Caenorhabditis elegans: one gene and its partner. The protein of the gene in region 2 purifies or fractionates together with the protein of the main gene of each other region. This does not show direct contact. Each region holds a gene or a part of one and is shown on either strand. Other genes may lie near its edges.

Region 1 (10,807 bases), on a different chromosome or scaffold from region 2:
ATAGCAGAAACAAAAAATGTCTAGAACTACAACCAACAAAGATCGATGCCTTTTTTCCTTTGGCCGAAAATGTGGTAAAAGGTCCGCCAACCTCCCGCACACTCTCGCGACCCCTACACCTCTCACACGCACACTCTTCTCTCTCGATCTTCCTCGCTCACTCTTTCTCACAATTTTCCTCGTTTTCTAACAACAGACAAACACACACGCACAGCGAAGACAACGAGAGTTGACCATACAGCACAAAGCAATGGCGAGAGATAGAGAAAAAGAGGAGAAAAATAGAAGGGAAAGGCATCCCGTGTGTTCGTTTCCTTATGTCTATCGTCCTCCGGCGCAAACAGCGTTGGTAGGTAGGAACAAAAAAATAGAAAGAAGAAATTGAACTTTCATTTAAATTTTTAAAAAATCTTTAATATTTATTTAGACCTAACCTAAAAAATTGACAACAAGTAGTCAAATGGGAACGAAAACCAGAAATGAGATAAGATTGAAAACCGAAAATCGCGTTTTTCTACAGGCAAAAGTGCAATGTGGACATGATTGATTGATTTTACGGGTCTCAAAGACTTAAAAATTGATAACTGGTGTGGTTTTTGGATGGTAATTTTGAATGGATAAACAAAAAAGCAACTTCTTATCACAGAATGACCATTGCAGTAGGAGTCTCTAGGAAAACCGTATGCCCATCAGGTCTTATGACTGCCGCCCAGACACCAGACACTAAATTTCAAAAACAGCAGGTGCAGTCAGTGTTTTGACATAAATGTGCCGGATATGAATGGTAGAAGAGACAATAGGAAAGGTTCCAAAATCAACACCAATTACAGATTTTCAAAAGGTTGGAGGAACTGAAACATCTATTTTGAGAGAACAAAAAAACATGTAGAAAAACATCATCGAAGGTCAGACAGTGGAGACGATAGAGAAAACACAAGCGCTCAATGAATAATAGCCGTATTGTGTCATCGAAATTTGATACACTCGTAATATAAGTGGTGAAGATAACAACAATAATCACAATTTGATACGACTAGCATCAAAAAGTTATGCATTAAAACTGTGATTTTACTAATTGAAATTGTCAAGTTGGTAGAAAATTAATTACAGACGATTTATGGCATTTGAAAAAGTATTAAAAGAACTGTTACACCGCAATTTTTGAATTTTTTAAATGACTTCTACTAAAACGAGTTAAACTTTAAAATTAGTGAGACTACCAAAAACGTTTCCACTGATAAAAAATTGAGACAATTTTTCTAACTGCACTTTGAAAAAGTAAACTCGGCTGACATCGTAGGGTTTCATTTTGGCCACAAAATTTTGAAATCAATTTTAAGTTGGAACATGTGGTTTTTTTGTTAGATTTATGTGATTAACAGCTGCTCATATTCTCCTAACTCAGCTGAAAGTTTGCCCTTTATATTGGAAATTTAACGTATGTCCATGTTCAAAAAGTGCACGTTTGAAATATTTTTATATTTGTACTAATAGAAGTTGCACAAAAATTTGAGATTTTTGAAAAATATCCACCCTACTGGAGCTAGAACAAAACAACAGAAAAATAATAAAATCCAACTGATCAATATTTTTATAAATTTTGTCAAACTGTAATGTTCAATTATCAAGATGTAGTCTATTTCAAAAACTCAGGAAAAATTTAGCTCATAAGATGTCAGTCGCTTCAACTTTTCTACAGCGGATTTGAGACAATCCAGGGTTTAGAAAAACTATTTAGAAAAATGAGCTTAACTTCTATTTGAGAAAAAAACTTTTTCACAAATCATGAGAAAATGTCGAAAACAGTTTTTTAAAAATAATTTTTGCATTGCATAAAAGAATGACAAAATCGAATCTGGGAGCTTTCAAATTTCACAAGTTCCCACTAAATTTTCCTGTAGTTTCAGCAAGAATATATTATATTATACGGTGAAGCCTCTTGAACTGAATTTCTATGAAACTAAGCATCTCAGATATTTATGCTTTTGTATATAAATTGCCACAAAAAATTGTCGGCTGCAATAAAAAATAATAACCTATATTAAAAGTTTGAGGCTCAAATATTAGACAACAAAATCTAGAAGCTCAATAAAAATTTTCCAACTAACATTTATTCAATTGCCTTCTCGTGATCATTGAAAATATATTCAGTTACTTCACGGAAAACTTCCGAACCTATCAGAATTTTCCTAATTTATGGGAAACTCTTTTTTTTGTTGGAAATTTTGACAGGTCTCCTTGCAGAACGATGAAGAGATGTTAAAAATGAACACTGGCGGAAGAACTCAAGGTTCAAGATTCGTTGGTGTGGTATCTGTTTGTGTTTTTCATGATATACATGTGACTCCATCAAGCTTTGGCGTGTCCACACACACACACACACACACTCACACTCTCTCATACACACAAATACGCAAACGAGATCACTCAATTTACCATGATTTTCAACGGAGGACAAAAAGAAGAAAAGCCTTTTGGTCGCCTCACGCGGGGCGCCAGCCGTCTGCGTCTCACACTATTTTCGGATACGTTGCGGCACGTGTTTTTCCAATGCTAAATGCACGGAAATTGGGTTTGAAAGCGGAATGAATGAGGAGAATCCGTGAGAATACGAAGAAAATGTTGCCAACTAGGTAAAGAGGGGGGAAGTTGGTCCGATGAACGGAGTATCGTACCGCGCGTTGTTTAGTGGAGGGCGGCAGCGTTCCGCGCGGCTCACTTATTCGGGAAGGGCCCCCACATTGTTCGTTTTGCATTAAGGCTCCAGTCTCTTTTCTTTTGTTTTTGCATTGAACATTTTTGCTGTTATCTTTTTCTGTTTTGCTAATCGTAATGGGCGTTTACAAAAAGTTGCTGAAAATTAATATTTAGTCTTTCAAAAACTAGTGATCTAGAAAGTTTTCAAAAAAAAACCTTGGTACGTTATTTTAAATGTGAACAATCTTTAATTCACACAGACAAAACACGGAATTCAGGGAAAATTCAGTATTTTCCCGAATTGGAATCTAATTTGCTGAGGGCCGATGAATTTTTCAATATTTCGTAATACTAAAGTAATTTGTACGGAAAATCTGAGTTGATTAGCTGAGGCGCTAGAAGCATGTTTAATTTTTTCACTAAACTCATCAGTGTGGTTTTAAAAAAAATTAATCTTTTTCACATTTTCAAATGAAAAGAACATCCCTTCTGTGGCTACCCATCGCAAAATTTTAGAATTGCGGTTTTTGACTTCCCTTGACCCCCCGAAAACCCCTCAAAAACTAACCTTGACTTTGCCGATAGCTTTCTTGAAAGATTTTTCACGCGATTAAGTCCACTTGGCTGACTCCGACTCTTGGATTTCATCTCAGTACCGTCTCCACCACCGTCCTCCTTCCTATCGCGGTCTCGATCTTGATGAGAAAACATTTCTGAAAATAGTCGGTTATTTTGAAATGTAACCTAAAAAACGGGCATTAGAACGGCAATGTTAGACCTTGAAATCCAAAAAAAGAGAGAAAAGCCACTTTGTCATGCGCAGAAATCGGCGGCGATGGTGATGACGGAAAATGTGAATAAGCATATTTTGGTGGCGTTTTTTGGTTTTTCTAACAGCTCGGCTGCTAAAAAGGTTTGCTGTGTAAATAGAACAAGTACTCACCGAACACTTTTTTCATTGTTTTTCACGTCGAGAAGCAGCGAATTTTCTTTTTTTGAAGGGATAGCTTTTTGAATTTTTTTTTAGCTATTCAATGCAACATAAAGCAATAGAAAAAATGAAGGAGAACAATTGAAGCTAGCTCTCGAAGAATGTTTGATGAAAGCGAAAACTTCACTTCGAAATTTCAATATCTAGTGGAAAAGGTTTTCTAAAACTAACAGGGCGAATATAGCCATCTTTTTCCAAAATGCCATAAAAGTGGAAATGTAAATGAGGGTATGAACATTAACAATTTTTTTGACACGTTCATGTGAACAAAAAATTCCACCCGCATAGTTCCATATTTTTAGAAATAACAAAAATTGCCTAATATCACTTAATGCTCTAGCTCTAATCCAGTTACTAATCCTTATTTCAAAACGATTTTTAAGCACTTTTCAGTGCTTTTTCCTTCCTCTCGCCAAACAAAAAGCAAATATGTTCAGATGCTCGAGTGCAACGCACTGAAGCTATATTTGGCAGAATACCAAAAAATCGATTCAAAACGCAATGTAACAGCGCGTGGAAAGTTGAAACAATGTGATGATACCAGAAACATTCATAATAAATTCTGGTAAAGTGAGCCCTCCTCACTTGACGCTACTGTTTGTGAGTATCAGACTCGGCGACTTTTGTCAAAGTAATCGGATCAGAACGGGGCAGTGTATTGGTATACCTCCTGCCACAAGGCACGTGCCAGACAATATGAAACAGTATATGCGTTTTATTCAGTCTCTATTTTTTTCGCAATTCCCGCAGGGAAAGTCACCTGCCAAGCTTACAGCTTCTAGGAAAACATTATACTTTAACAACTATAGATAAATTTTGAAACTTAAAAGTTACTTGTCAACGAGAGCTCATGATACGAGAGCCAACGAGAGCGCGGGAAAAAAAATGAGAGGGAATAATAACTTTGAACGATGGGACGAGTTGAAAAGTGTCATATTTCGGAGCACAATGGTTTTGAGCACACTCGGCGTCCAAGTGATGAGAAAAGTTTACTTCTTCGTTAGACACTTGTTGACTTGCTTTCTTTGTTTTTGAAATTTTTGTTCAATTTCCATTTTTCTAACAACTATCATTATGTTTGTTTTTGTTGCCTCTTAATTGTTAGTTTTGTGAAAAATCCATGTCCATGTTCATCTTTATTGATTTTAAAAATTTTCAAATTAACTTCAAAATCATTAAAGGCCACCCATTAAAGTCGGTGACTAAAATAATAAATCAGAATGTGCTGAAAAAATTTTTAGTTGTCGTAAATTTTACAAAACTTTGTTGAGAACTTCGCCACGTAGAATTGAGGCTTTAAGGCGGCCCGGAGGCGCCTCTTATCGCCTTTTTCTTTACCTCTTCTCTCACCCTTCTTTCTACCGGAAATCTTGTATGCAAATTCTCATTACGGTGAATATTTTTCTGTGATTTTTTTTCATTTTTACTTCTCATTCATTCAAAGGCGTTTACCGGGCGGAATGTTGTTTAGTTCTCATCCATATTTCTAAATACCCAGCAACTTGGATTTTCTCGTGTATACTGTTCCATTTCTTTTCATCATGTCCCGCCATCATCACCCCAAAAAGAAAACCGATTATTTTTCGTTTCGAAAATTTACATAAACATGTTTTTCCGCCTGGCCACGTGAGATTGTTATATTTATTTATCTAGGCGGTTTCGCACCATCACTCATTTCAAAAGGTCATTTTGCCAATAATTTTTGAAGTGGTCGTTTGGTTTTTGAATCTTTGAAGTTCACGAGGTAGTTGTATAGGTTAACCTTGATTCCTTTTGTAAAGGGATTTTGAAAAAATCAGCTCTTTCAAGGTTTTTCTATAGGCAAAAACAGAAGAAAACTTCCACTAGAAAATTTCAAAAAAAAAAATAGTTTTTCATTTTTGGTGAGGGAATTTTGATATAATTTCATTTATTCCTAGGATCTTATTACATTAACCTAGATAAATATCCAATCTTTTTTTTCAATTTTCAAAAAAGTAATTTGCCTTATCAAAGAACACTTTGAAACCCTCACAAATGACACATTTCGATCTCATTGCGCTGCGTTTTGCCCGTTCTCTCCACCTTGCCATCACGTTTTCCTCGAAATAAAAATTTTCAAAATGGTCACGTCTCGAAAAACGTCTCTGGCAAACAACAACGCTGCCTCTCGTTTTCTACCCGCATGTGTTGTTTTCTCGGAAATAGTGTGTGCTTATTGGAGGGCGGGCCGACGAGAAAGAGTTGTCGAGAAGAGGCAGTCCGTTTTTGAGACCCCCTTTCCTCAATTTGTCCGAAAACTAGGCAAAATTTCCTGTAACTTTTGTTGTGAACTGTCGACTTTGGTGCAATAGAAAGTAACCATCTAGTTCAGTCTTGAAACTGGGCCCGTAGTCTTATCAACACACGTTTCTGTTGATTTCTTGAGTGCTAAAATAAGAAAGTAGAAAGTTTTACGTTTCTTATCGTATAATAATTTTTATCATCAAATCGATTTTTATTGGAAACACCTAAAACGTTTTTTGTTTCCAAGTAAATCCTCTCGAATGTCGATGAGGTGACCTCCTTTTAACGTGGTCATTTTTCGATTTTGATCTCTTTCGCTATATAAATACACCTCATTATCGCGTTTTGCGGCATACCGCCACTCTTTTCATCTCTTCAATTTCTATAACTAAACTTATTGATTTTTTTTAATTCCAGAAACAACACTCAACATGTCCTTCTTTGACGGAATCCCAGTTGCTCCACCAATCGAGGTGTTCCACAAGAACAAGATGTACCTCGATGAGACGGCTCCCGTCAAAGTTAACCTGACAATTGGAGCCTACCGCACAGAGGAGGGACAGCCATGGGTGCTTCCAGTCGTTCATGAGACTGAAGTCGAAATCGCCAACGACACCTCGCTCAATCACGAGTATCTTCCAGTTCTCGGTCACGAGGGTTTCCGCAAGGCTGCCACCGAGCTTGTCCTCGGAGCCGAATCGCCAGCTATCAAGGAGGAAAGATCGTTTGGAGTACAGTGTCTCTCTGGAACCGGAGCTCTTCGTGCTGGAGCCGAGTTTCTTGCTTCAGTGTGTAACATGAAGACCGTCTACGTGAGCAACCCAACATGGTAAGTGGTCGAAAAATCGGAGCCAAACATACTTATCTGATAAAATATAACAAGTCTTGTATTGGCCAGAGTGAGTAGCAGTCAACCAGAACTTCAACTTCTTAAAATAGCCGCCCAATTCTTGGCAGTATTACCATAAACCTAGGTAATCTAGGTAAAAAATGAGTTTCAGCAAGGCTCTTTCAAAGAGGTGTAAGGTACTTTTCCTGAACCTCTGATAATGCTGGGCGAAATTCATCAAATCATGAATTTTTATCATTTTCAGGGGAAATCACAAGCTTGTCTTCAAGAAGGCTGGTTTCACCACCGTCGCCGACTACACCTTCTGGGACTATGATAACAAACGTGTGCACATTGAGAAGTTCCTCTCCGATCTTGAGTCAGCCCCAGAGAAGTCTGTCATCATTCTTCACGGATGTGCTCACAACCCAACTGGAATGGACCCAACTCAGGAGCAATGGAAGTTGGTTGCCGAGGTGATCAAGAGAAAGAACCTCTTCACCTTCTTTGACATTGCTTACCAAGGATTCGCATCTGGTGATCCAGCTGCGGACGCCTGGGCGATCCGCTACTTTGTAGACCAGGGAATGGAGATGGTTGTGTCCCAATCATTTGCCAAGAACTTTGGACTTTACAGTAAGTTTTGAATAGAAGATGAAAAGTAAAATACTTCAAAATTTCAGACGAGCGTGTCGGAAACCTTACTGTCGTCGTCAACAATCCAGCTGTCATTGCCGGATTCCAGTCTCAAATGTCGTTGGTTATCCGTGCCAACTGGTCCAATCCACCAGCACATGGAGCAAGAATTGTGCACAAGGTGCTCACCACCCCAGCTCGCCGTGAACAATGGAACCAGTCTATTCAAGCGATGTCTTCTCGTATCAAGCAGATGAGAGCCGCCTTATTGCGCCATTTGATGGATCTTGGCACTCCTGGAACTTGGGATCACATCATTCAACAAATTGGAATGTTCAGCTACACCGGACTTACTTGTGAGTTTGCTTTTTTTAACACTCTGATGAGGACAATCTTAATTTTCAGCTGCCCAAGTGGATCACCTGATTGCCAATCACAAAGTATTCCTGCTCAGAGACGGCCGCATCAACATTTGTGGTCTTAACACGAAAAACGTGGAATATGTCGCCAAGGCGATTGATGAGACTGTGCGTGCCGTGAAGAGCAACATCTAAAGCTTTGAAATTTATGAATTTTATGTGAAAAATTGAGTTTTTGTGCTCTTCAAGTTTGAGCATTAAGTGTAGATTGAGTATTTCTATGCACTTAGTTTTAATTTCCCGTGTGTACTTTTATTTATTTTAACCCGATTACTTTTTTTTCTTGAATGGAAAATGAATCATTGCTATTATTATCCGTGTGATGTGGACGTTTACTTGGGGAACTATTTCATAAAATATTCGCTCCTAACCGCGACAATTATGGATACACTGCCATAATGCATGAAGCAGCGGATTTTTGGCATATGGAAGCAAGAGGAACATCAGAATTGCCGGAACAAAAATAAAACTAAAACTGTTGTGCGAAAAGTCTACGACATTTTGTTACAAAGTTTGTAATTCTGGTCACCCCAAGTTTAGATTAAGAATATTTGCCATCTATCTATTGTTTAGACACCTGTCGATTTGGTTAAAATTTTTCAGTCTCCTCGAAGTCATGTGGCAAAATTTGAGAAAAATCTTGTTACAACAATTTTCTTTACAGTTCATTGGATTGAAAGTGTGCTCCGAGAAACTTTCAAATTATGCTTTTCTGTTACGTTGTACAACGGGATGGGATAAAATAATCAGTTTTGTACTAAAAATGGTTCTCTAGTATTTAGAATAATTGTTTTAAAATTATTCCACAATACTAAAAAAACATTCAACTATATGTGGATTTCGTGAATAACTTTTAGAGTCAATTTGAACGGAGCACCAATTCAAAAACGGCTCTCCAACTTTCTGAAATCACGTGTACAGGTAAGGATACATCAGTGTTCCATTACCTGAAAAGCTTACGTCTTGCAAACTTCGATGACCCGGAGTGTGAAAGACAGTTAAAAAATTGCGGGGATTTATGAACAATGTTTTCTGTTCAAGCAATTATGATATATGGTGCAAATACTAATCATCACTAGGCTTTATTTTATTTTTGTAATTTTCTTGTAGTTAATTGAAAAAAAAGTGTTTCAACTTCTGTCATATGCTTCAAAATACAGTGTATTACTGACCACCTGGCACCATGTTTAAAAACTTTTTTTCGAGCAGCTGTTAATATTTGTTACTACAGTTTGAAAAACTGATTTAATTCTATAACTGACCACGTCAAACTTTCGCATTCTCATCTACACGAACTTCATTTCCCGGAGTATTCAAAGTTGAGGTAGGCTTCTATTTTCTTATCAACGTCAATCAAGTGATAAATCATTTTTTATTGCAATGCACTTTAAGCTGTCTTAGTTTTTTTCGAACCTTCGTGTTTCGCCGTAACATCGTTCATCAAGTAGTTGTTTTATGGAAAAAAATAGAGTAATCATTACCAATGAATATGGGAAGGATGAAAAAGGTTTTATTTGATCATAACAATTAATAAATAGAAAATGACAATGTAATATTTTCCATTGCTCTAAAAATGGCAAACTCAATTATCAAGCGGTTGTACTTATTATTGTTATTGTTATTATTATTATTATTATATTGTTATTATGGTTGTTATTGTTGTACTTATACCCAATATTATTACTAAGAAACCCCGTTACAAAACGGTTTTCATTTGTTACGGGGTTACAAAATTAATAGAACGGCATATTCATTTTTCAAAAAGCACGAGAATTCCAGCAACATGTCGAACCGTGGGTACGCCCATCTTCACCAGACTCGATTCACCATGAAAATGTGAATACGTGCCAGGAAGTAATCAGGAACACAAATTCATTTTCAAACGAACAGAAAAACTTTACATAGTTAAACTAAATAAATTTAAAAAAATAAAAAAACTAAAAAAAAATAAACTAAAAAAAAAAAAAACTTAGTACCGCAGTTTTTTGATTCTTGAACAAAATTACCATGTTGCGAACGCTATAACGATTTTTGCAACCGTATATAAACAGGATTGCGCTAAGGAAAAAAAGTACTCCCAGTTCTTTTTTTCAGAAGACAGTGAGCTACAAAAATGTTTTATAGTCAAAGTATAAAATGTACTGAATTTGCAGTCCCAGAAATTTTGTTTCTTGCACTTTCTGAGTTCAAGAGTTTTTTTCAACGTCAGCTATAAATTAAAATTTCGTTTTCTTATCGCCACCTGCTCCAAAAAACTCCCATTTTTCTATTTCGTGTTATGCATGGAACTATTCAACTTTTGGTACTTGTGTAGTTCAACTGACCCAGAAATGGTGGCCATTCTTATACATAGTTTTACGTGACTTTTTTGTCCATCTTAGGCTAAGGGTTAATGTTATCTAAGCTTAAACAGCAAATAAATTTCAGTTAAAATATGCGGCTATCTTTCTTTGATGGAATTCATGTTGCTTCGCCAATCAAAGAGCTCCATACATCGGAACTCTTCCAGAAAGAAATTTGCCCTGTGAAAATAAATCTTGCAATAGAAGCTTATCGCACGGAAGATGGAGAGCCGTGGGTTTTGCCAGTGGTTCGAGAAATCGAACTTAAATTCCCTCACGAGCCTCATCACAATCATGAGTACCTACCGATTCTTGGACATGATGGATTCTGCAAATCAGCCACCGCTTTGCTACTCGGAAATGATTCTTTGGCTATCAAAGAGGGAAGATCATTTAGTGTTCAGTGCATCTCTGGTACAGGTGCCATATGTGTTGGAGCAGAGTTTCTTGCTCAAGTTCTTAGTATGAAGACGATTTATGTCAGCAATCCATGCTGGTAAGTAAATGCTTTTTGGGGGTATTTTTTAATGAGAAAATCAAAATTTTTTCAACCGATTATTAAAACGACCAATTGTGTGATGTTTCTTTTTCCAGGGGAAACTACGAGCGTACATTTCAAAAGAGTGGT
Region 2 (10,807 bases):
CATCTCCAAATGACAACAAATTCGTCTTCTTCGTCTCCACAACTTTCGGCTCTTTTCTCCGCTCACTTTTCTCTTTTTTCCTCTTTTCCCGTGGCTTTAAATCATCAAATGGATTATTATCAATTCGTGCTCCAGTAATTTTATAAAATGTCACTGGTCGATCGCCTTCAGTCTCAACTTCTGTGATTTTAAGCATATTGAAAAGTGTGGGTCCGGTCACTTTTCCGAAGATTGTGTGCTTTTTGTCGAGCTCTGGAGCTCCGCGATCACCGATTGTGAAGAAGAATTGGGAACCGTTGTCGTCTCGTCCAGCATTTGCCATTCCAACAATTCCGCGGCGGTTGAATTTTAGACGTTGGTGGATTTCATCCTGGAATTTTTGGAATTTTGAGTGAAAATCTGAAGTTTTTGGATTTTTTTTGAATTGCTTTTTTTGCGACCAGAAATTGATTTTTAAACTAAAATTGATTTTTTTAAACTAAAAAAAATTTTTTTTGAAAAATTGATTTGTTTAGACTGAAATAAATGTTTTTTTGGAAAAATTGATTTTGTTTCCGAAAAAATTAAATTTTTTACCCAAAAAATTGATTTTTTTTGGTCAAAATTTAATTTTTTGGCCAAAAATTGATTTTTTTTGGTCAAAATTTAATTTTTTGGCCAAAAATTGATTTTTTTTACCCAAAATTGTTTATTTTTTGTAAAATGGATTTTTTTACAGAAAAATTTGATTTTTTGTCATATTTTTCTAAATAAAAAATTAATTTTTTCCCCCTAAAAATTTAATATTTTTGGCCAAACAATTGATTTTTTTTTGAAAAATTGATTTTTTCAACAAGAAATTAATTTTCTAAAATTTGTTTTTTTTTAACTAAAAAATTGACAAAAAATATTTCTGAAAGAAAAATTGATTTTTTTTTAATTTAAAATTAATTATTTTACCCAAAAATTTAACTTTTTTTTAAACTAAAAATTGATTTTTCGGTTTTTTTTGGAATTTTTGTATGAGAAGGCCTTAAATCTGTTTTTACTCATAAGAAACGTTGAAAAAATACAAAATTATAGCTTCAAATTTTTTATGACAATTTTTTTAAAGAAAATTTGAATTTTATTGGGATTTTCAATTTTTTAAACGATTTCTCAAAAAAAAAGTGCAAATTTTGAACCTTAAATGGTTTTCCATAGATGCTCTCTCCGCCGGTTCCGGTTGCCGTAGGGTCTCCACCCTGGAGAATGAAATCTGCAAAAAAAAATTCTTGGAAATTTTTGAAAAAAACTTGCAAAAAAAAATTTCTTTTTTGATTTTTAAAAATGTTTTTAATTTTAAAATTTAAAAAATTAACGTTAATTTTTTTTCGCCATTTACTAACTTTTGACAAGCCGATGAAATACAGTTCCCTTGTAATAATTTTCCATGCAAAGCTGGATGAAATTTCTGCATGCTAGTGGAGCTTCCTTCGTCCAAAGCTCAATTTCAATGTCTCCGGCAGTGGTTTCAAGGGTTACCTGCAAGAAATTTAGTTAAAAATGAAGTAAAATTGAAGAAAATTGAATAATTAATTGATTTTATTATGGTAAAGACATTTTTTTAAAGCTTTTTCGAAATTATTTAATTTTTGAAAATTCAATTTGTTTCGATTTCTTCAAAATTTTGGGATTTTCGCGCCAAAACTACAGTACCTAGGGTATCGACACGAATTTTTATTATTGCTAATTGAGATACGTGTGCGCCTTTAAAGATTACTGTAATTTTATTTTAAAGTTTGCAACTACAGCTCTTTAAAGGCGCACACCTTTTCGCAATCAAAAATTTTTTGTCGTGTCGAGACCCTAGGTACCGTAGTTTGGGCTCGAAAATCGCAAAATTTGTCATATTTTTGCGATTTTTCATCTAAAAATTGACAACTTTTTAAAAATTCGGATATTTAATTTTTAAAAAGGAGTAAAATATGACGAAATCTGCAATTTTCGCGCCAAAACAACGGTACATAGGGTCTCGAAGCGACATATTTTTGTTTAAAAATGTGCGCTTTTAAAGATTACTGTACATTCGAATTTTCATCAATTTTTCATAGTAAACTGTAGTTTTTGGATAAAAAATTTTCGAATTTTTATCGATTTTTTGATTAAAAAAATGTTCAAGACTACAGTACTCTTTTTAAAGGCGCACACCTTTTTGCAGTTAACAAAAAGTCGTCGTGTCGAGACCATAGATACCGTATTTTTGGCGCGAAAAGCGCAAAATTCGTCATATTTTTTCGATTTTTCCTCTAAAAATTGACAAATTTCAAAAAATTCGGATATTTAATTTAAAAAAAAGAGAAAAATATGACGAATTCTGCGATTTTCGCGCCAAAACTACGGTACCTAGGGTCTCGAAGCGACACATTTTTGTTAAAAAGATGTGCGCCTTTAAAGATTACTGTAGTCTCGAATTTTTATAGATTTTTTGATTAAAAAAATGTTCAAGACTACAGTACTCTTTAAAGGCGCACACCTCTTTGCAATAAACAAAAATTGTCGTGTCGAGACCAGGAAACGTAGTTTTGGCGCAAAAAGTGCAAAATTGGTCGTATTTTTCAATAAATTATCCAAAATTTTTCGAAATTAGCCAATTTTTAGATAAAAAAAACTCAAAATTTTCGTTTTACAGCTTAAAAATTGCAAAAATACGCGAATTTTTCATCGGAAAAATCGAAAATTTCACTGGATTTTCGATTTTTATTCAAAAATCGATAAAAATTGAAATTTTCGGTCATTTTTTCTGGAAAATTCAATTTTTTCCACCAAAAATCGATAAAAATCAATAATTTTACCTTTCCCGTCGTAATCGGCTCGTTGATATATTGATTACTCATCTGAAAACTGAAAATTTTCCGCAAAAATCTGAAAATCGCCGGCTGAAATATTCACACAGAACAAGTAACTATTGTTTGAAAATATCGATTTTTTGTTATTTGTCGGCAAGAAATTTATTTATATAAATATATATAGGTTTTGAATATCAAAAATACTGGAAAAAAAAGCTGCTACTAATATCTACACTGTAGAGAGGAAAAAGCCAAATTTCAAGCCAAAAAATTCACGAATTCACCCAAATTTTGGATTTTTTTCGGTCAAAATTCCGGGAAAATTGATGAAAATCAGCTAATTTTACAATATAATTTAGAGGAAATCTGGGGGAAAATTGGGGAAAACTAAGGGAAATTCTACAATTTTGAAGCTGAAATTCCGGGAAAAATCAGCTAATTTTACGGCTAAAAATTAGGGGAATCAATGAAAATCAACCAATTTTACGACCAAAATTTAGGGGAATCGGTGAAAAATCAGTGGAAATCCGGAAAAATCTGTGAAATAGGGGGAAATAAATAATAATTTAAGATCTGGCGTTGATAATCTTGACAAAATCGGGTTTCAACGATGCTCCACCGACCAAGAATCCATCGATATCCGGCTTCTTTCCAAGCTCAGCCGCATTGTCAGCAGTCACAGATCCTCCATAAATGATTCTCGTGGCATCGGCGACAGCTGGTGAGACCTTCTCTTTGAGGAATGCACGGATCCATTCATGAACCTCCTGGGCTTGTTCTCCAGAAGCAGTCTTTCCGGTTCCGATGGCCCAAACTGGTTCGTAGGCGATCACAATGTTCTCCCAGCTGACACCCTTGTCGACGATGGCTTGAAGTTGACGGAAGTTTACCTGGAAATTGGAAAATTTGGGTCTCGAAGCGATCGATTTTTGAAATTTATTTTTCTACAACATTAAAAAAAATCTTTATTTATAAGGAATTGGGTATTATTTTTCAGGAATTTTTTGTTTCAAATTTTATCGATTTTTCGAAAATTTTATATTCTTCGGGATTCTTTTTTTTTTTTGAATTTTTCGCGTTTTTGGGAATTTAAATTTGTATTTTTATATAAATTTCACGAAAATTCATTAAAAAATCGGGTCTCGAAGCGATTATTTTTGAACTTTTTTTGTTTTACCACGTGGAATAGGGAATTTAATCGATTTTTCGAAGATTTTTAAATAAAAATGTTTCTTCGGAGATTTTTTTTTGAACTTTTCTGCAAAATTCAAGAAAATTCATAAGAAATCGGGTCTCGAAACGACTATTTCAGGAGTTTTTTCTTTTTTATTGCCGGAACCAATTTTTTTGTTGAAAATTTGGCAAAAAAAAAAAGAATTATTTTTGGCGACCATTTTTTGTTGGAATTTTCCGCTTTTTTGGAAAATGATAAAATTAAATGTTTTCTGTTCAAAATTCACGAAAATTCATAAAAATCGGGTCTCGAAGCGATTATTTCTAATATTCGTTGCAGAAAGAGAAATATTGCGTTTTTTTTGAGGAAAAATTGAGCTCAAAACTATAAAATTCAGGGATTTTTTAAGAAGAAACTTTGAAAAATTCCCGAAAAACGTGCAAATTCGAAACAAAACCATTTTGGAATTTTCAAAAAATCTCAAAAACTTGATTTTTCTACTGAAATATTAGAAGAAATCGATTTTCTACCCGAAAAAATTAAGAAAAAAAATCTGAAAGTTTGAAAATGTTGAATTTTCAAATTTTCTTGCGAAAAATCGATAATTTCCAGTATTTTGCTCCCTTACATCCTTGGTGTGTCCGGCTTCACGCTCCTCGAGCTTCTCCCCAATGCAGAAAACGACCTTAATTCCAGCCTCGAGAGCATGCACGGTCTTCTCAGCGATCAGCTGAAAAAGAAATTTCAGATTAATTTCCCTGAAACTCGAATTTTTTATTGACACTTGGTGTCAGGCTGTCTCATTGCGGTTTGATCTACAAAAAATGCGGGAATTTTTCTGCCAGAAAAATGTGACGTCAGCACACTCTTGCGAAATCAGTGGAAAAGTCTGCGTCTCGAGAAGATCTTTTCCCGAATTTTTCGAAGATCAAATCAAAATGTATTAAACTAACAGCATCGCTTTCTCCAAAGACATGACGACGTTCCGAGTGTCCGAGGATCACCCATTCCAATCCAAGATCCTTGATCATTGCCGGCGAAATTTCCCCGGTGAATGCTCCCTTTGGCACTTTGTAGCAGTTTTGTGCGGCGACAAGCACACCGGCTTTAAGCTTGGATTTAGCGTAGGCCAGATATGGAGCTGGTGGAGCAACGACGACATCAACGGAGGAATTGTCGGCTGAGGCGTTGAGGAAGGTGACGATACCATCGACGGAGGCATAGTCTCCGTTCATCTTCCAGTTTCCTCCGACGAAGAACTTGCGAGTCATCTTGATTCTACAAGAATTATGGAATTTTTTTGTTGGAGGGAAATTTGGATAGAAATTCAGAATAAGGAGGAGAAAACGATAGAAGAATTGCTATTCTTTGTGAAACCGAGAGTATCGATTTTCCCGATTTTCTTGCCCTGTATTCTTTTCAAAAAGTGGCTCAAATTTAATTTTTAAAAATGTCGTCTCGAGACCTGGTATGGCTCAAAAATCGTAATATTTCGCCTCTAGCTAATTTAGTATTGATTGGCAAATGTAAGAAAAGTATATAGTTCAGCAAAAACTTAACTATCTAAAGATGGTCTAGTCGAACGTTTTTTATTGTTTAAGTAGTCTCGAAATAGTCTAAAAACACCGAATTTCATAATGAAACTTCTTGAAAACTCCTCCAAAAAGTTATGGCGGCTCAAAAAATTACCTGAAATTAGTTAAAATTTGAAATTTAACCGACTTTTCAAGCGGCTAACTTTTTTGAAATAACCGTCTAATTTTGGGTATACAAGTTAATTTCTTGTTGCAGTTTCAACTCGATTTTGGTACATTTAAGCTCGATGTATCCCCCAGATGTTACCAAATTTAACCAAATCTGGTGACAAATCGACCTCAAATATACCTAAATCGAGTTGAAAACGCAAGATAATTAACTTATATACCCATAATTAGACGATGATTTCAAAAAGTTAGCATCCAGCCGCTTGACAAGACGGTCAAATTTCAAATTTTAACTAATTTCAGGTCATTTTTTGTACCGCCATAACTTTTTTTGAGAAGTTTTCAAGAATTTTCATTATGAAATTCGGTAATTTCAGATAATTTCGAGTCGAACACAAAAGGAATTTTTGCTGAACTATATACCTTTCTTACATTTGCCAATGAATACTAAATTAGCCAGAGGCGAAATTTTACGATTTTTGAGACACACCCGGTCTCGACACGACAAATTTTCATTAAATTCGAGTCACTTTTCGACAAGAATACTGACAAGAAAATCGTGAAAAGTCGATACTCTAGAGTCTAGGCAAAAATTAAAAATGACGCAAATGACTTTCGAAAATCGTGATCAATAGCCAACGTTTGATAAGGACGAGAGATAACAATGGAAAATCGAATTCGACATTGTTTTTTCGAAACAAATTTCAATCGAAATCAAGACTACACAACAAGTGAGATAGCGGGGTTTCTTCGATTTTATTTTTCTTTTTTTTGGCTGGCCAGCAGCAGCAGTCGAGAGAAACGAGACGATACAGTGTAGACAATGAAGAGACGGAGAGAGAAGGCGCAGTCCGAGTTTGCACGTATTTTGTAATGTTCTGAGTAGTGTGTGTGTGTGAATGGCAGAAGAGTGTTTGTGGATAGATTCGATTGGGAAGGGTTATTACGGGAGCACAAAATTCAGAGAATACGTACTGCACAACATATTTGACGCGCAAAATATCTTGTAGCGAAAACTACAGTAATTCTTAAAATGACTACTGTAGTGCTTATGCCGATTTACGGGGCTCGATTTTCAAAATGGATGCTTAGTTTTAATATTCTATTTATTTCAAAAAATCGAGCCCGTAAATCGACACCAGCGTTACAGTAGTCATTTAAAGAGTTACAGTAGTTTTCGCTACGAGATATTTTACGCGTCAAATATGTTGTGCAATACGCATTCTCATAGTATTTTGTTCCAGTAATATATATTTACAGGAAAATATGTTGGAAAACATCAGAAATTACAATGAAATTAAAATCACAGTGATTTTTCAAAAAAACGCTCCGCCCTTTTATTGGTTTTTTGCGTTTACGTCGCAGTTTGGCGAAAACTCGATTTTTTACCAAAACATTAATAAATGGACGGGATTTTTGTGAAATTTTTGAAAAAAAAGTCACTATTTTTAAGTTCAATTTGCAGTAATGCAGCTAAAAATCATTCGAATTTTCTATATATGACGTTTTCGAAAATTTAAATCTTCGCAAAGCACCGCCCATATATTGCCAAACTCCGCCCATTTATTGGTGCTTCTTCATGGTACAATTAAGCATTAAAAATCATACGCTTTTCGAATTTTGAAAACCTTTATCCTACAGATTTATAGTTAAATCCACAGCAGCTTAGAAGTATTATCAGATTATCAGGCTTAAAAAAACAATTTTTTCTAGATTTTTCGCCCCCGAAAATGCCTCTCATTGTAAGTTCAACATCATTTTTTTTTCATTTTTTCGGTCGAAAGAAAACCAAATAAATATGATGTGATCACTTCCACTACCTCGTGACACTTTTTATAACAAAAACATAGTTTTTGTTCGAAAATAGATATTTTCTGATTAGAAAAGTGCATTTTTTGGTGGAAATTAATTGGAAAATTTTGCAGCTGCTCGTGGTGTTATGGATCATAAATTTCTCAATTTTTGAGCGGAAATTCATATAAAATTTGCATTTTGAACGGCATTTTTGTCCTAAAATCGTATTTTTTTCGATAGTTTTAGCTGAAAAATGTGAATTTTAAGCTTAATTATTGGAAAGTTAGATATTTTTTCACGATTTGGAACGATTTTCCTGTAGAAATGCTTAATTCCGGCTCATTTTTAGTCCAAATCATCATTTTTAGTCTCCGCTATTTTGAAGAAAAACACACGCTTTTTGCGAAGATTTGGGCAAAAATCGATAAAACGTCATTTTTAATCGGTTTTTGATCATTTCCAGCTCCTTTACACTAGATTTTATGCGAAAATGCATGTATTTTTTAAGAAATTTAATTTTTTTAAATATTTATTTGACAAATTTTATATTTATTTAGTTACTTTGGAGCTTTTTTTCAATTTCTAGTTGCATTTTGAACTTAAACAACTCCTTAAACTTAAAAACCAACAATTTTGAAATTGAGTTTCCGGCGAACGATTTTCGAAAAAAAAATTTCCGACCACTAAACCCCCGTTATCAAAGCCCCCGCAAGTGTAGATAGTAAAATACACGATAAAGAATCAAAGAACAAGGCTAAATTGAGCAGGAAAACAGAAAAAACGGCGGAAAATGACCGGAAACAAGTGAAAAATGAACGATTTCCTGTGGTTTGGCACGCAGCTAAGCCGCTCGATAGAGCGCACTTGCTGCGAGTCACAAGGAATTCAAGTTTTGGAGAAGTGGTCTCGTCTAGTTTTTCAGCGGGTTTCTTTTAATTTGGGCGGGATACACATAGTTTAGTATTTAAAATCAACAATGTGTGATAAAATATATTCGAATCTAAAATGAAAAATCAGGTTTTCAATGGCTATACTCCAAATTGTCCTGCTGAATCCGCGGGGTTGGTTTCCGCAGAATCCCCATCGCGGAGTCTCAATAATTCTTTTTATTTTTATTTTCTCATTTTCCCCTTTTCCCCTTTTCCCCCTTTTTCTTTCAATTTTCCCCATTTTCCATCATTTTTTTCGTTTTTCTATGATTTATCATCAAAACAAAGCACGAAATTCAATAAAAAAAACAATTTTCAACCAAAAAATTGCGAAAAAACACGTCATTTCTTTCTTTTGCTGCCAGAAAAAAGAGATAGTTCTTTGTGTACCTGTATCAAAAATCACAAGGTTTCTTGGCATTCGGCCAACATTTTGATCTCGTCATCTGATTACCAAGTTTCTCTGCGTCTCCACGGCTTCCGCGCAGAAAAAAAAACAAATAGATAATTTCGTAATAGTGATGTTGAGGATTTTCTGGTTTTTTTTTCTCCTTTTTTTGTTTTTTTCCCGTCCTCCCAGTGAATCATCGCAACTATATGTATCCCTTTTTTCCTCTTTCAGATGCTCTACGATTAAAAATTTCCCGCTAAAAACTGCAATTTTTCACTGAAAACTCACCAAAACCACCCGAAAATGCAGATTAATCCTCCTGCAACTGTGAGTTTTTGTGTTTTTTCTTTTAAAAAAAGGTTTAAATTAATTAAAAATTATTTTTAGGTGCTCATTGAGCCCCGTGACTATCGATCATTCTGCTTTCGCGGCGAAGGGCGCGCGAATTTCGTTATTAGCGCCAGGCATCGGGTTTCTGGAGTCAGGTATGTTGTTTATTGATGGATTTCTGAATTTACTGGAGAAATACGTAAAAATCCAGGTTTTTCAGCTAAAAATTCGATTTTTCCCAAAAAATTCAATTGGAACCATTAAAAATCGAGTTTTTAAAACAAAAAAAAAATTTAACTTAAAATTGATAGAAACCCGCGTTCTCCTCATTTTTCTCCTTTAAAGTCTGAAAAAATTCACGAAAAACACAAAAAATTGGTCTAGAAACGTAAAAAATTAACTTTTCTTCTAAAAAATTTGAAATGCCCCTCGTGGAGTACGGTAGCAGTCAGTTTCAACTGTGCCCATAATTTTTTTAGCGATTTCTTTAAAAATTTTAAATTAATATTCTGGATTTTCTGCCGAAATTGTTGAATTTTTGACTTGAAAACATGAAAAAATTGGAAATTCCAATTTTTTTTATATTTAAAAAAAGTTTCTTATACTAATTTTCCGTTAAAAATTAAGATTTTTCATGTTTTTCAAGCCAAAAAATATTAAATTTGACTTTAAAAATTCAAAAACTAAGAAAAAAATTAACAAACACAGCTGAAAACGACTGCTACCGTACCCCATAGTGGGAATTTCAAATTAAAAAAAATTTTAAAGTCAAAAATTCGGCTGAAAATCGGTTAAAACTGAGAAAAAACATCGTTTTTCCATTTTTTTTTGAGCAAAAACCTCTTTAAAAAATCGAAAAAAATGAACGGACACAGCTGAAAATGACTGCTACCGTACCCCATAGTGGGAATTTCAAATTTTTGAGAAAAATATTGAGTTTTAGCGTTTCAAAATGATTTTTTTGTGTTTTTCGATAATTTTTACCAAATTTGAAAGGAGAAAAATGAGGAAAACACGAAATTTTGTGAAAAACTTTGTTTTTTTCACAAAATTTCCCAATTTTTACCTAAAAAACTAAAATTTACCCCCCAATTTTTCCAGGATAGTATGGCGATTCGCAAAAGCTCGAAAAAGTGGTCTAATGACTGTAAAAGCTCGCAGTGAGCTCGTCAACAGTTATATGGAACGAATAGTTGCCCCATTCTTCTCCGATCAATACCTAGTCGACATGAATATCGTCGAATTCGACACAGTTGACGTACATCAGCTCGCGAAGATCCCAAGCCTTCCGGCGAATCAGAAAATTGAAAAATTCGAGGATTTATTCGAATTACCCGATGAATACTCATTCTTTCCACTGAACACATTCCAAAGGGTACATGGATCGGTTATTGTGACGAATCCGAAGCGTCTGACATCGTTGCAAATGTTAGATGCTACACAGTTACCTATGACTGTCATGGATTCGGGGCATAGCTCTACTATTACTGTAAGCGCAATTTTCGATAGCTTCAAATCTTGAAAAAAAATGATATCACCCAAATTTCTAGACGGGGCATTAAAATCAATATAAATTTCAAAGGTATATAGGTATTTAGGCATAGGTATATAGGTATATAGGTATGTAGATATATAGGTATGTATACATATTTATAGGGAAATATAGGTATATAGGTATA

What was found. The genes of interacting proteins can lie anywhere in the genome.
Region 1: the proteins of tpi-1 (region 2) and got-1.2 fractionate together in Caenorhabditis elegans (co-fractionation; one large-scale study listed by BioGRID). This does not show direct contact.

What each region holds. Positions count from the first base shown.
Region 1 is NC_003284.9:16,788,690-16,799,496, reverse strand, and holds got-1.2 (Aspartate aminotransferase, cytoplasmic), read left to right. Parts: upstream 1-6,370; 5' UTR 6,371-6,384; coding exon 6,385-6,782; intron 6,783-6,970; exon of another isoform or gene 6,971-7,047; coding exon 7,048-7,418; exon of another isoform or gene 7,419-7,465; coding exon 7,466-7,774; intron 7,775-7,823; coding exon 7,824-7,972; 3' UTR 7,973-8,150; downstream 8,151-10,807. Other genes in the region: aak-2 (5'-AMP-activated protein kinase catalytic subunit alpha-2), read right to left, coding at 3,266-3,408. UniProt on the Caenorhabditis elegans protein: Biosynthesis of L-glutamate from L-aspartate. Important regulator of levels of glutamate, the major excitatory neurotransmitter of the central nervous system.
Region 2 is NC_003280.10:12,033,881-12,044,687, forward strand, and holds tpi-1 (Triosephosphate isomerase), read right to left. Parts: upstream 5,260-10,807; 5' UTR 5,253-5,259; coding exon 4,935-5,252; intron 4,712-4,934; coding exon 4,610-4,711; intron 3,698-4,609; coding exon 3,374-3,697; 3' UTR 2,955-3,373; downstream 1-2,954. Other genes in the region: cyn-16 (Spliceosome-associated protein CWC27 homolog), read right to left, coding at 1-370, 1,164-1,237, 1,368-1,503, 2,814-2,855; ippk-1 (Inositol-pentakisphosphate 2-kinase), read left to right, coding at 9,102-9,125, 9,186-9,283, 10,230-10,617. UniProt on the Caenorhabditis elegans protein: Triosephosphate isomerase is an extremely efficient metabolic enzyme that catalyzes the interconversion between dihydroxyacetone phosphate (DHAP) and D-glyceraldehyde-3-phosphate (G3P) in glycolysis and gluconeogenesis.